Caenorhabditis elegans: one gene and its partner. The protein of the gene in region 2 interacts with the protein of the main gene of each other region in a pairwise test. Each region holds a gene or a part of one and is shown on either strand. Other genes may lie near its edges.

Region 1 (7,272 bases), on a different chromosome or scaffold from region 2:
TAAGAACAAAATTCAGTTTTTTTTTTGAAATTAAAACGAGCAATTCTCGAAAATAAAAAGCTTGCAGACGTGTCCCTGAATGAGAGGGGAGAAGTTTCAAACTCATAGGGTGGTGGAAATTGCAGGAGAAAACATAAATTTCCAGCTCAAAAGCCTGCTCACTCACCTCGTTATAGATATACTCCTCGAACTTGTAGTTTCCGATCGAAGCGGTGAAATTTCTTTTCCATTTTTTAATTCAGCTTCACTTTTTTCTTCCTCTTCTTCTTCAACATCTTCTTCTTCTTCATCTTCTTCAGCTTCTTCCATTTCATCTTCTGCGACATATTCTTCATCATCAACAGCTGATTCTTTCGATGATTCTCTTGAATCTTTTTGTGCAGCAGAAATATCATTTTCACCGATAACAATGGTGGTTGTGGTGGTATTTGTGTTGGATGATGTGGTCGAGCCAACTGATGCAGTGGATGGATGCGAGTGAAGAAACTCGTTTTCACTGGAGAAATATAAAAAAATAGACAAAAAAATAGAGAAGCGATAGGATATAGTGGAATAATTGAGGGTGAACATGCAATGTTTTTAAAATATTTTTTTGAGGAAATTCTGATTCAGATTTTTCCCAATAAAACTTTCCAATATTAAATTTTCAAATTATTAATTTCTAAACCCCCACCTATGCTGATCCTTATGCTGTAAATCTCGTTTCCGTTCACTTGTCAGAACATGTTCCTCGTGTGACGGCATTCTATGATTCTTCTCCTGAAGTATTGAAGTTGGTGGCTGGGAGCCACTACCCGGTGATTTTCGCTTGTTCTGTACTTTCACAGTGTCAGCCAACTCGACAAGATAATCGATGCATTCTTTATCAGCTACTCCAAGAACGTCAGCACCCTGAAAATTGTTTTTTTTTTAAATAAAAATTTAAAAAAATTTAAAGCAATTGGTGTGAATTTATATACTTTTGATAAAAATAAAGTTTGTACATTTTTTCAGTAAATAATATTTTTTATCTTTGAAAAAACATATTTTGGTATGACAAATGTTTTTAAATTCAGTTTTGTTGTCGTTTTTCTTTGATAGGACTTCCATGTCGGCGTCGAAACGCCTGCCTGGCTTAATTAAGGCGACCTCTGCCTTCCTCATTTATTTTTTAAATTTGATTTTCATCGAATTGAAATTCGAAGATAAGAAATTTGAAAATTCACGCCAGAATACAGAAAATAGGCGAGTGGCTGGTAGGTTTCAAGCAGGCGCCAGGTCTTGAAAACCGCAACAGAAAAACTGTAAACCCCTACCGTAAACGTTAGATCCGATAATTCCGCTCCATTTTCCAATAATATTTTACATGCATCTCGTTCAGCCCAATGTGCAGCCGCATGCAACGGAGTCCATCCTTCGACATCCTGTGCCCGTACATTTCCACCCGCTTTGATAAGTAATTCGAGTAATTGTGTGTATCCTCGCCCAGCAGCTACATGCATTGCAGTTCCACCTGTTCTGTGGTGAGGAATATCTCGATATTCTCCCTGACTCATCCACATATTCACATCTTTCAACATTGTCTGAAGTTCTTGATCTCTACAAGCATCGAGATCAATCATTTGTCGCTTGTAATCATCGTCAAGATAATCACGACATTGTTCATCTACTGCAAGATCAAGTGCTAACTCTTTATCACTATTAACTATTGAGAGATCGGCTCCATGTTGACACAAATATCTGACTATTGCCACATTTCCACAACATGCAGCTGCGTGAAGAGGTGTCCATCCTTCATTATCTTGTGCATTCACATCGGCTCCTTTTTCACAAAGAAATCGAACCATTTCGGGTTTTGAATCAATTACCGACTGAAAATATTCAATTTCGAATGTTTTGTTTATGCAATATTTCAATTTTTCAATGTTCTATCCATATGCAAAACGTTGCGATTTGTTTCAAAAGTACGGTCTCGAAGCACCAAATTTAAAATATTGTGCGCCTTAAAGGAGTACTGTAGCTGTTTTTAAAGAACTTTTTTTTTACGAAAAATGTGTTTTTTAAGGATTCAAAAAGAATTTTTTTAAAATTTATTTTTGAACTTTTATTTCCAGAAAAAGTTAAGGTTGTTTTCTAAAATAAATTCCAAATTAAATTCGTTTTGTTTTTATCAATTTCATTTTTTTTTGTAATTTCGTTGCTCCAGCCCTGCTCTCTGTTGTTGCAGGATTTTCCTCGATGTTTCATACGTTTTCAAACGTTTGTTTAACTTTTATTGAAAAACATGTGCAATTTTGAAGAAACTGTAGAAAAACTACAGTACTCCTTTAGGTTCACCTCGAGACCGGGTATCGTATTTTTTTAAACAAAATTCACGAAACTTCACATATGGACGATACAAGTACCAAATTGTCAATAATAAATGCAAATCTCACCTGATGCAATGCGGTCAACCCGTCAACTGTACAAGTATTAATATTGGCACCCTTGTTCAACAGTTCTTCAACTTCTTCTTCATCTCCAGACATACATGCCGACAGAAAAATATCACTGTCTTGAAATTGTACTTTTGGACGTTTCGTTCGCCGAGCTGCTTCTGCGTTCATCTCGCTGCTCTGCCAACGGCGCAATTGATCCTGAAAATTTAAAAATTACAAATAAATGGTTTTTTTTGTTTAAAAAATATTAAATTTATTGAATGTTTAAACTTCGAACCCTCGGCGTAAAAAAGAGTAAAAGTTGGCACACGCCGAGAGAGCTCACAAATTGTGTTTGCACCTGTTTGCACAATTGATTAACAAGTATAAACGACTGGATTTCGGTCGTGATTGTCGTTTTTTTTTTGTTCACTAAATACCTACTGGTTTGTAATTTTTTTTAGAAATTAATTTTTGAATGATCAAGAGAAAAAGTTTCAAAGCAAATGGAAAAAAATAAAACGAATAATCGTCCGATTAGAATGAGTCAAAACTTGACACTGATAAGAAAAAAGTTCAACCGGAAGCCTGTGGAAACTATCAAAAAAAGATCAAAAAACGTTCTCTTTTGGTGGTTTTTTTTCCGGAGAAGAGACGAAAGAGACGTCGTCGTCGTCGCCGTCGTCGTGTCCCTGTGCCCGCTGACTCACTTTTATTGTCAATGTGTTTGTATGGAAAATGGCAGGAAAAATGGAGAACGGGGGTGGAGGAGGAAACATGGAAAATGAAGGAAGAACGACGGTTCAGACAAAAAATCATAGAGAGCAAGGTGTTTTCAGAAACTTTCTCTAGAATAATTTTAAATTTCTCAAATTTTTAATTCGAAAAAAAAAACTACAAAAAAACTGAACAAGCTTCAAACTGGAAAATTAAGCAGATGAAATTTTTTAAAGATTTTCACGTCAAAAAACGGGTCCCCGGTCTCGAAACGATTCATTTATGTTTAATGCAAAAAGGCTTGCGCCTTTAAAGAGTACTGTAATTTCAACCTACTATTGTTGTGAAATTCCATGATTTTTTTAACGTTTTTCGTTTTTGAAAATATATTAATTTACTGAACAAAAAAAGACAACTATGAAAACTATGGAAAAAAAAATGAAAATTCCTTTTTGAAAGTTACAGTAACCTTTAAAGGTGCATAACTTTTCGCATTTAACAGAAATCTTTCGTGTCGAGACCGGGTACCGTACTTTTGGCGCAAAAACCGAAGAAAGTCGGCCAAAAATTTGATATTTAAAGTTCGAAGATCACTTTTAACAAAAATGAAATTTCAAACTGATTTTTAATTTATAATGTTGAAATTTAAATATAAATTTAGACAATTTCTTCAATTTAAACGAAGAAAATTTTAGTTTTATTTTACTATTTTAATTTGTGATAAACGAGGTTTTTACCAAATTTTTTTTCGCAAAAATTACAGATTTATTTTTTTGTTGAATTTTGTTTTCAAACTTTTGAAAAAAGCTCACCTTTCTCTTATTCACAACATTAAAAGTGATTTGCTGCTTTGCTTGCAGCATATGCGCATCGTCCTCGTCATCTTGACCCATTCTGCAAAATATGAAATTTTTTTAGTAAAAAATGTTGTTGTTTGAGATAGGTTCAATCAGAAAAGCAAAGAACGATGAGAAAAGTGATACAAATGACGTTCGTTTCATTGATACAATAATGGGTAGAAATTCCAAAAAATATATAAAGTATTTTGTAAAAATATTATGGTTTTGGAAACGAGAAAAAATAGATCAAACGATGAAGCTTGGGAAAAATGACTCGTATTCACACACAGACACCCACAAGAAATGACCAGTTTAGCGTGTGACTGAAACCGGAGACTTATTCCGCGTATTCGACCACCTCCAAGTCAATTACTCTTCATATCCCACCACCACTACTTTAACGTTCACTCATTTCCCGGTTCATCCTTCTTTTGAAATATGAGACCACAACTATTCGATTAATCTTTTGACTAAAGTTTCATAGCTTTTGCGTATAAATCTTGGAATGTGAATACCCGAATTTTCGAAATCTGCCGGTTTTTCGGTTTTCCGAAATACCAAAAAATCAAAAAATTTACGGGTTTTTCTAAAAAAAAAAATCTAAAAAATGCAACGTTCTTGTTAAATAAAAAACCAAAAATCGAAAAATCGAATACCGTATATAATTATAAAACACTTATAAATGGTTCTAAATTTTTTTTAATTTTGCAACAAAAATGTGCAATTTGAATTTTTTGGCAAAACTGAAAAAAAAAATTTCAAACTTCAAATTTATAAATAATTTAAAACCATTTTTAAATATATATATTCGTTCATTAGGACCAATTTTCAATAATTTTAAGCAAACTATCCATGGACTCCGCCATTAAAAATATATCCTTAAGGATATATAAATATAATACTAATCAATACAACTCCCACTCATCCATTGAAAAGTGCGGCAAGTGGGTGAAAATAGTGAGGCAGTGAAGATCAGAAAAGGCTTAGAGAATTAGATAAAGTGATGTGATAAAGGTGGTTTTGGATTGTGGATACACCGGAGAACAAATATTATGAAATTGGGCACTATTTCCGGTGCAATTTGTTTTCTAAAAATATTGGTGTAAAATATCTATGTTCAAAAATTTTATAAAATGAAATATTTAGAGTTTCCAAAGTTTCTAAAAAAAGTTTGCGGTGAGTCATTGAAGACTAACTAAACAAATTTGGAAAAATAATTGAAAAAGGCAAGGCATTTCTGTAAAAAACGCTTAAAATTTTTGAAAATTGCCAATCAATGTTTATATTTCAAAAGAAATGTTATATTTTTGGAAAGAAACATTTCTTTTTTTTTTGCAATCAATGTTAATATAAAACATTGGCTATGGCATTTAAATTAAAAATTCATTGTTTAAAAAATCTAGGTTCAATGTTCAGAAAATGAGAAATTAAAAAACAATTTTCGAGTAACGGACACATTGAACTAATTCCAGAGAAAAAATGGAACAGTGCCCCCGGGATTAGGGGCGACAAGTCGATGGATAGGTCGTTCTCTCTCTCTCTATTTTCAACGATATAGACAGAAAGAGAGAATTAGTGATTCGAGACGCAGATACACCATCATCCAAGAGAAAGAGACCGGGAGGGACGTACTTGAAACTTTCCGCCTGCACGCGGCGTGTCTGCGTCTATTAAACACCGCTCAATATATTTCGACTCTCTCGCTCTGTTCTCTTTTCCCGCATCATTATACACACAGCGGCAGTTGGCTGGTTGCCCTCTCTTCCCATCATCCTTCTCCCGATCCTCCTCTCACCGTTCTCTTATTCATCATCATCCTTAACCTGTTGTGCTGCTTGGTGGTCGTGGTGATGGTTAGCGCTTACTAATAAGCTCTTGGAACTCTTGAAAAATCTCGGTAGCAGCATCACACAAAAAATGGTTGTAAATAGAGAGAAAGAGACAACTATTAGCACTTGTCAACGATTTGCGGTTTTTTAAGAACCAGGTCAAGATGGTATTTACTGCCCACGCAAGAACACTTCAAAAATGAGGTACAAAAGAACAATCATTGAAAAAGCATGTAATAAGTTAGAAAAACCTAAAATGTTTTGTTTTGAAATCGTATCAACTTTACGGCCCAGTCACCGTGAGTACTCAAAGCCACAGGCGAGCATCAGAATGTCATAAACTAGAGATACACTTCCCAGGGCAGCTAGATAGAATACAAAGAACGTGTGTGTAATACATAAATTATGTGTGCACTCTTTGAAGTGAAAAAACACACATAAATTGAATGAGCAAACATCTACGTTCATCTATAATAGAGTCTCGAGAAGTTGTGAGTACAAGTGCACACTGATCAGATCACCTAACTTTGTGTATAACTGTCTGATCAAAGCGTTCTTTTCGTGTACTCAACCATTGCCAAAGATATTGATCTTTCTTGTGAGACTCCGAAAGTCTCGTATCTAGGTGTGAATCTATACCGGAAAAGGGATGAACAACGGAAGTTAATTTTACAGTCTATAAGAAGTGACAGGCGGAAATCCAAAAGGTAAAGATTTCAATAAATCCTTATTACTGTATATTATTCTGTTAAAACAGCTGGCTCTTTTTAATCATTCGCGAGCAGGTGTATAAATTGGACACTCCCTTTTTCAAAAATTACCGCCTCGTTGGACAGTTCTCCCCCGAAAATCTAGACTATTATGAATTGACGATCGCCTATGCCTCTTCCGCCACAATATTATCAAGAATGTCCTTAATTTGGATTGATTATTCCGAGGTATTCGCGGTGCGGCGCTGAGATGTTCACTATCATAGGACAAGTATATACAAAGAAAAGGAATTTGATCGCGGTAACAAAGACTGAAGACAAGATATGGAGTCAAAGAAATGTTTCGCTAATTTTGAACAATAGAAGAACTTACAAGTCAATTCTAGTAAAACAAAATGTTCAGAAAATATATCTACTTTATTTTTAAAATAGCCCTCTAGACATGTACTTTATCAGCAGTATCATCAGATCAGCTGGTCCACATAAAAAGTACGAAGGATCAATTGGGAGTAGAGTGATGAGATTTGGACGGAAAACAGCTGGTTTTGAAGGAGGAGGGAAACGAACATGTACACATTGACAAGAAGCGTGTGAATTGGTTGACGAAGAGAATTGGATGAGAAGAGTAAGAAAAGAGAAAGATGTTCAAAAGCATAAGCAAAAGGAAGTAGCAGCTTGGGAATGGCAGGGGACCAACGTAGTGCTCAATTTGTTGTCATTGTTTAGCTTTTGAAATCTCGAATGTATTAGAAAAGCGGACAAGGTGACATTCGTCGGCTAG
Region 2 (7,555 bases):
GATAGAGCACATTTGCCACGGAACAGCGAGAGAATTCAAAAATTCAGTGAAGTTTTTCGAATTTTCTAGATAAAAATTGACACTTTTTGATTTTTCGACAGTTTTTCAGCACTGAAAAATCAAAATCAGGGCAAAAATTTAGTTTTTTTTCGTAACTTTGTCAGATTTTTGCACACTATTTTCCGATTTTTAAATCAAAATTCAACCAAAAACTGGAATAATTTTATTTTTTGACTTTTTTAACGGTAATTTTGAGCTTTTGAAGCAAAAAATCTGGCAAAATTGCACTTTTTACAGAATTTTATTTGGAAAAATCGAAAATTTGGGCAGAGGTTCCCCGGGAAAGTGGTCAAATGTGCTCCTGTGAGCAATTTCGGGTGGAAAATTCCAAAATTTTGTAATTTCTAATGCAAAAGTTTGGAATTTTCACACCAAAATCACCGATAGAGCACATTTGCCACGGAAAATTGAATTTTAATCTGAGAGTTTAGCACATTTTTGCGAGAAAAACTGAAAAAAAAATTTTGCAGTTTTCTGAGTAAAATTGGTTAATTTTTTCAGGATTTTCCTGAATTTTGGGCTCCGAGAGCATTTTTGGATACTAATTCCACATTTTTCAATTTTTCTCGAATTTTCACGTGAAAAACGGCAATTTTCACGAATTTTCCCGAGTTTTTAGTAAAAATATCCAATTTTTATTGAATTTTTCAGAGTTTTCAGTGAAAAAATCCAATTTTTCCGAATTTTCAGTAAAAAATCCAATTTTTCCGATTTTTCAGTGAAAAATTCAAATTTTCCCGAATTTTCACGTGAAAAACGGCAATTTTCACGAATTTTCCCGAGTTTTTAGTAAAAATATCCAATTTTTATTGAATTTTTCAGAGTTTTCAGTGAAAAAATCCAATTTTTCCGAATTTTCAGTAAAAAATCCAATTTTTCCGATTTTTCAGTGAAAAATTCAAATTTTCCCGAATTTTCACGTGAAAAACGGCAATTTTCACGAATTTTCCCGAGTTTTTAGTAAAAATATCCAATTTTTATTGAATTTTCGATGAAAAATTCGAATTTTTCCGAATTTTCGATGAAAAATTCGAATTTTTCCGAATTTTCAGTGAAAAAATCGAATTTTCTCGAATTTTCAGTGAAAACTGCCAATTTTCTCGAATTTTTCCGAATTTTCAGTGAAAACTGCCAATTTTCTCGAATTTTTCCGAATTTTCAGGCAAAAACTGCCAATTTTCTCGAATTTTTCCGAATTTTCAGTGAAAACTGCCAATTTTCTCGAATTTTTCCGAATTTTCAGTGAAAACTGCCAATTTTCTCGAATTTTTCCGAATTTTCAGTGAAAACTGCCAATTTTCTCGAATTTTTCCGAATTTTCAGTGAAAACTGCCAATTTTCTCGAATTTTTCCGAATTTTCAGGCAAAAACCGCCAATTTTCTCGAATTTTTCCGAATTGTCAGGCGAAAAATTCCATTTTTCCGTACCAACAACGGGCACTGCAGACTGTACAGATCCACGTGGAACCTGTCCAGCCGCCTGCATATTCTTGTACTCCATCGGTGTAGTTGTCTCGAATCCAGTCGGCGGAACATCCCAGAATCGGTACTTTTTGGGCTCACGAGGCTTCTGGGGCTCCGGCTCACGGCGCGAACGGGCTTCATCATCACCTCCACGACGTCTCGGCTCATCACGACCACCACCGCCTCGACGACGTTCACGGGATCGAGAACGATCACGATCACCTCCACCTCCACCACCACGACGTTCTCCACGATCACGACTGAAAATGGGGGGTTTTTGGGGTTTTTTGCCGGGAAAAATCGATTTTTTTGCGATTTTTTAGGTTAAAAAATGCGGATTTTCAGTGACTTTCAGCTAAAATCGCAATTTTCCAGTGTAAAAATCGATTTTTTTTGCAATTTTTTGGCTAGAAAAATTGCAATTTTTGGCAGTTTCGCAGGTTTTTGGCGGGAAAAATCGATTTTTTCGCGATTTTTTGGCTAGAAAAATGAGTTTTCATGCAGAAAAATTGCAATTTTTGGCAGTTTCGCAGGTTTTTGGCGGGAAAAATCGATTTTCTCGCGATTTTTTGGCTAGAAAAATGAGTTTTCATGCAGAAAAATTGCAATTTTTGGCAGCTTCGCAGGTTTTTGGCGGGAAAAATCGATTTTTTGCGATTTTTTAGGTTAAAAAATGCGGATTTTCAGTGATTTTCAGCTAAAATCGCAATTTTCCAGGGGAAAAATCGATTTTTGCGCACTTTTTTGGCTAGAAAAATGAGTTTTCATGCAGAAAAATTGCAATTTTTGTCAGATTCGCGCAGGTTTTTGGAAGGAAAAATCGATTTTTTAAGTTAAAAATGTAAATTTTCGCAATTTTCCACTGGAAATTCGATTTTTCGCCAACTTTTGGACAGAAAATTTGACTTTTCCGTGGAAACTCAGCTAAAATTGCGATTTTTTGAAGGTTTTTGGGCGGAAAGATGGATTTTTCGCAAATTTTTGGACAGAAAAACCATTCTTATTGCGTTTTTCAGTACAATTTGAGTAAAAACCGCCACTTTTTATTGTAAAAATTCAAAATTTTTAGGTAAAATTTGACCAAAGAACGCAATTTTCCACTGGAAAATCGATTTTTTGCGGTTTTTTGGACAGAAAATTAGACTTTTCAATGGAAATTCAGCTAAAATTGGGACTTTTTGGAGGTTTTTGGGCGGAAAAATGCGAATTTTTTTGGTGGAATTTAATTAAAAAATCTATTTTTGGCGAGTTTTTGAACAGGAAAATGGATTTTATCGTTACTTTTTAGGTTAAAAAAATGGGAATTTTCGTGGGAAATTTAGCTAAAATTGCGATTTCTCGCTTCCACGACTGAAAATTTCGGGGTTTTCGGCAGGAAAAATCGATATTTTACAACTTTTTAGGTTAAAAAATGGGAATTTTCGGTGGAATTTGACCAAAAAACGCAATTTTCCAACTGAAAATCGAATTTTTGCAAACTTTTGGACAGAAAATTTGACTTTTCCGTGGAAATTCAGCTAAAATTGCAATTTTTTGGAGGTTTTTGGAAGGAAAAATCGATTTTTTGCGATTTTTCAAAGTAAAAAATGCGAATTTTCGGTGGATTTTCAGCTAAAATTGCATCTTTTCCGCTTTTCCTGTGAAAAAATCGATTTTTCATAGATTTTTGGCAAAGAAAATGAAAATTTTGGTGGATTTCTTCAAGCAAAAATCGATTTTTTAAAGAGTTTTTTGGCAGGAAAAATGGGATTTTCGGTAGTGTTTTTCATGGAAAATCATCAAATTTCGCTCTGAAAATCCGATTTTGGGTCAATTTTCTTCAAATTTAGACCATTTTCTAGCGGAAAACTCGATTTTCGCAGAGTTTTCGACGAAAATCCTCGAATTTTTGCTCTAAAAATGTTGATTTTCTGGGTTTGAAGTCATTTTTAAGCCGTTTTTCATGCAAAAAGCGATTTTCAGCGTAATTCTGGCCAAAAAAAAACAAAATTTCCTCCTAAAAATCCGATTTTGGGTCAATTTTCTAGCGGAAAACTCGATTTTCGCCGAGTTTTCCACGAAAATTCTCGAATATTCCGTCAAAAAATGCAATTTTTTCCAGCTTAAGCACCTTCTCGAGCGTCTTCTCGTATCGCGATCTCTACTTCTCGATCGTTTTCTCTTTTTCCGATCATTATCATCCTCTCCACCACCACCACCAGTCGATGATTTCAGATTTTCTTCATTTTCCAGTGGTCCAGTGGTCGGCTGAATCGCTTCGAGACCTCCTTCACGTTGAGCAACGTCCAAAAATTGGCGTTCAATATCTTCAAGTTTCATGCCATCCTGGTGATCACTCATCTGGAAAATTGGGAATTTTCTTTAAAAAATAGAGCTGAAAATCCGGAGAAAATGGATGGAAAAATTTGAAAATTTGGGCAGAGGTTCCCCGGGAAAGTGGTCAAATGTGCTCCTGTGAGCAATTTCGGGTGGAAAATTCCAAAATTTTGTAATTTCTAATGCAAAAGTTTGGAATTTTCACACCAAAATCACCGATAGAGCACATTTGCCACGGAAAATTGAATTTTAATCTGAGAGTTTAGCACATTTTTGCGAGAAAAACTGAAAAAAAAATTTTGCAGTTTTCTGAGTAAAATTGGTTAATTTTTTCAGGATTTTCCTGAATTTTGGGCTCCGAGAGCATTTTTGGATACTAATTCCACATTTTTCAATTTTTCTCGAATTTTCACGTGAAAAACGGCAATTTTCACGAATTTTCCCGAGTTTTTAGTAAAAATATCCAATTTTTATTGAATTTTTCAGAGTTTTCAGTGAAAAATTCCAATTTTTCCGAATTTTCTGAAAAAAAAAACCGAAAATTCGGAGAAATTCACGAAAAAATGGGTTTTTTTAATGGAAAAATAGCTGAAAATTCGGTGGAAATCGCGAAAAAATGAGTTTCTCTGAAAAAAAAAATAGCCGAAAATCAGGGGAAAACCGCGGAAAAATGGAGACAATTGGGCGAAAATGAGGAAATTTGGCGATTTTTTGGAAAAATCGTTGAAAATTCGGTGGAAATCGCGAAAAAATGGAGGTTTTTCTGAAAAAATAGCTGAAAAACCCGACAAAATGGCGAAAATATGGAAAAAAATAGGGTGAAAGTGAGAAAATTTGGAGTTTTTCTGGAAAAAATTGCTCAAAATCGCGAAAAAATGGAGAAAATTGGACGAAAATGAGGAAATTTGGTGATTTTTTAAAAAATTGCTTAAAATTCGGTGAAAATGCTGGAAAAATAGCTCCAAAACGATAAATTGTGAGAAAATAAACGGTATTTGAGTGAATTTGCCGAAAAAATAGGAGTTTTTCTGGAAAAAATAGCTGAAAATCCCGAGAAAATGGCGAAAATATGGAATAAAAAGGTTGGAAATGAAGAAATTTGGGGTTTTTTGGCGAAAAATTGTTTAAAATTCGGGAAAAACCGCGAAAAAATGGAGAAAATAGGTTGGAAATGAGGAAATTTGGTGATTTTTTTACGAAAAAAAAAGAAAATTCGGTGAAAATGCTGGAAAAAAGAGCTCCTCGCTAAAATAGGCGAAATTTGAGTGAATTTGCCGGAAAAAACTGAGATTTTTCTGATAAAATAGCTGAAAATTCGGTGAAAATCGATAAAAAATAGCTTAAATGATGAAAAATCGCTGAAAAATGAGATTTTGCTGAAAAATAGGTAGAATCTATAAAATTTCGGGGAAAATGATGGAAATAATAGAAAAATGGGTAAAAGCACACACAAAATTAGGCTGAAAATCAATAAAATTAGGTGAAAAATGACAAAAATCTCCCAAAAAAATCGATAAAAAAATAGCTGAAAATCTGCAAAAAATCGATGAAGATATGCTGAAAATCGCTGAAAACGAGAGAAAAAATAACACAAAAATCCAATAAATTACAGGAAAAATGTTGCAATTTTATAGCAAAAAAACGGGGCTTAAAGGCACTGAAAATGTGTGAAATTTGACAAGAATTATGTGAAATTGGGGGATTTTCGGGTGGTTTTTTGTACAATTTAGCGGGGAAAATGGACGAATTTTACATGAAAAATGGGGGAATTTTGGGGGAAAATCGACCTAATTTAGGTAAAAATCGATAAATTTTGCATGGAAAACGGGGATTTTTCGCGGAAAAATCGATGAATTTTGCACATTAAAAACAGCAATTTTGGGGAAAAATTGACAATTTTAAGACAAAATTGGCATTTTTACATGGAAAAGAACTTTTTTTTTAGGTGAAAATCGATGAATTGTGCATGAAAAACCAGCGATTTTAGGTCAAAATTGACATTTTACATGAAAAAAGGGCCTAATTTAGGTAAAAATCGATAAATTTTGCGTGGAAAATAGCTATTTTAAGTGAAAATCGATGAATTTTACACGGAAAAACGACAATTTTGGGGGAAAATTGGCGATTTTAGGCCAAAATTTGCATTTTTGCTCGGAAAAATGGCTAATTTAGGTGAAAATCGATAAATGTTACATGAAAATTGGAAATTTTGAGCCGAAATTGGTAATTTTACATGGAAAACAGCGATTTTGGGGGAAAATTGTCGTTTTTACATGGAAAAAATGGCATTTTTACATGAAAAAGTGTGGCAATTTTAAGCCAAAATTGGTATTTTTGTATGGAAAATAGCTTTTTTAGATGAAAATCGATAAATTTTGCACGAAAAACGGCGATTTTTGAGAAAAATTGACATTTTTACATGAAAAAGTGGCAATTTTAAGCCAAAATCGACATTTCCTCATGGAAAATAGCTATTTTAGGTGAAAATCGATAAATTTTGAATGAAAAACGGGGATTTCAGGTGAAAATTGGCAATTTCAAGTCAAAATTGACATTTTTACAGGGAAAAATAGCTATTTTAGGTGAAAATCGATAAATTTTGCATCGAAAACAGCGATTTTGATGGGAAATTGGCGATTTTAAGCCAAAATCGGCGATTTTCCATGAAAAACGGCCATTATGGGGGAAAATTTGCGATTTTAAGCCAAAATCGGCGATTTTACATGAAAAAATGGTTATTTTAGGTCAAAATTTGGCAATTTACATGAAAAAAAACGGGCTATTTTAGGTGAAAATTGATGAATTTTGCATCGAAAACAGCGATTTTGCTGGGAAATTGGCGATTTTAGGGGAAAATTTGCATTTTTACATGGAAAAAGGCCTAATTTAGGTTAAAATCGATAAACTTTGCATGAAAAACCAGCGATTTTAAGCCAAAGTTGGACATTTTTATATGGAAAAAACGGCGATTTTGAGGGAAAATTGGCGATTTTAAACCGAAATTCACGTTTTTACATGGAAAAAACAGGATTTTAGGTCAAATTTTGACAATTTACATGAAAAAAACAGGATTTTAGGTGAAAATTGATGAATTTTACAGTAAAAATATCGATTTTATGTCAAAATGAACGAATTTTCCGCGAGAATTTCCTAGCATCCACACATTCCGCCGCCACCACTGGAGCCCGTCGGTTGTCCCAACCGAAAAGACGGGCGGTCATTGTCCCATAAGTCGGGCGTTTGAATGATTTTCTCGATAAGCTCCTCAAATGTGCACTGTACACCCTCCTTAGTCTTCGCAGAAGCTTCAATGAATAGTGTGCGGTGGCGTTTTGCGAATTTTAGGCCTTCCTCGCGGGTTACCACTCGATTTGGCTGAAAATTATTTTTTAGGCCAAAAATCGAACAAAATCGGCTTTTTCGCACCATATCAATCTTGTTCGCGACCATCATCTTGATAATATTGTCATTTGTGCAATAAGTATCGACTTCTTGCATCCAATGATTCAATTTCTCGAAGGAGCTGCGGCTAGTGACGTCATACACGCAAATTACGCCCTGTGCTCCACGATAATAGCTCGGCGTGAGGGTACGGAACCTCTCCTGGCCGGCGGTGTCCCAAATTGCGAGTTTTACACGATTTCCGTCGATTGCCATTGAAGTTACGCGGAAATCCACGCCTAAAAAACAATAAATTTAGGGTTTTTTTGGCCTA

The links.
Region 1: the proteins of uaf-1 (region 2) and mel-11 interact in a two-hybrid assay, tested with the Caenorhabditis elegans proteins (one large-scale study listed by BioGRID).

What each region holds. Positions count from the first base shown.
Region 1 is NC_003280.10:9,355,268-9,362,539, reverse strand, and holds the start of mel-11 (cGMP-dependent protein kinase interacting domain-containing protein), read right to left. Parts: upstream 4,010-7,272; 5' UTR 4,007-4,009; coding exon 3,926-4,006; intron 2,616-3,925; coding exon 2,415-2,615; intron 1,851-2,414; coding exon 1,296-1,850; intron 892-1,295; coding exon 674-891; intron 497-673; coding exon 167-496; intron 1-166.
Region 2 is NC_003281.10:1,072,692-1,080,246, forward strand, and holds the start of uaf-1 (Splicing factor U2AF 65 kDa subunit), read right to left. Parts: upstream 3,865-7,555; coding exon 3,635-3,864; intron 1,785-3,634; coding exon 1,489-1,784; intron 1-1,488. Other genes in the region: Ras-related protein Rab-18, read right to left, coding at 6,991-7,215, 7,267-7,520. UniProt on the Caenorhabditis elegans protein: Necessary for the splicing of pre-mRNA. Binds to the polypyrimidine tract of introns early during spliceosome assembly.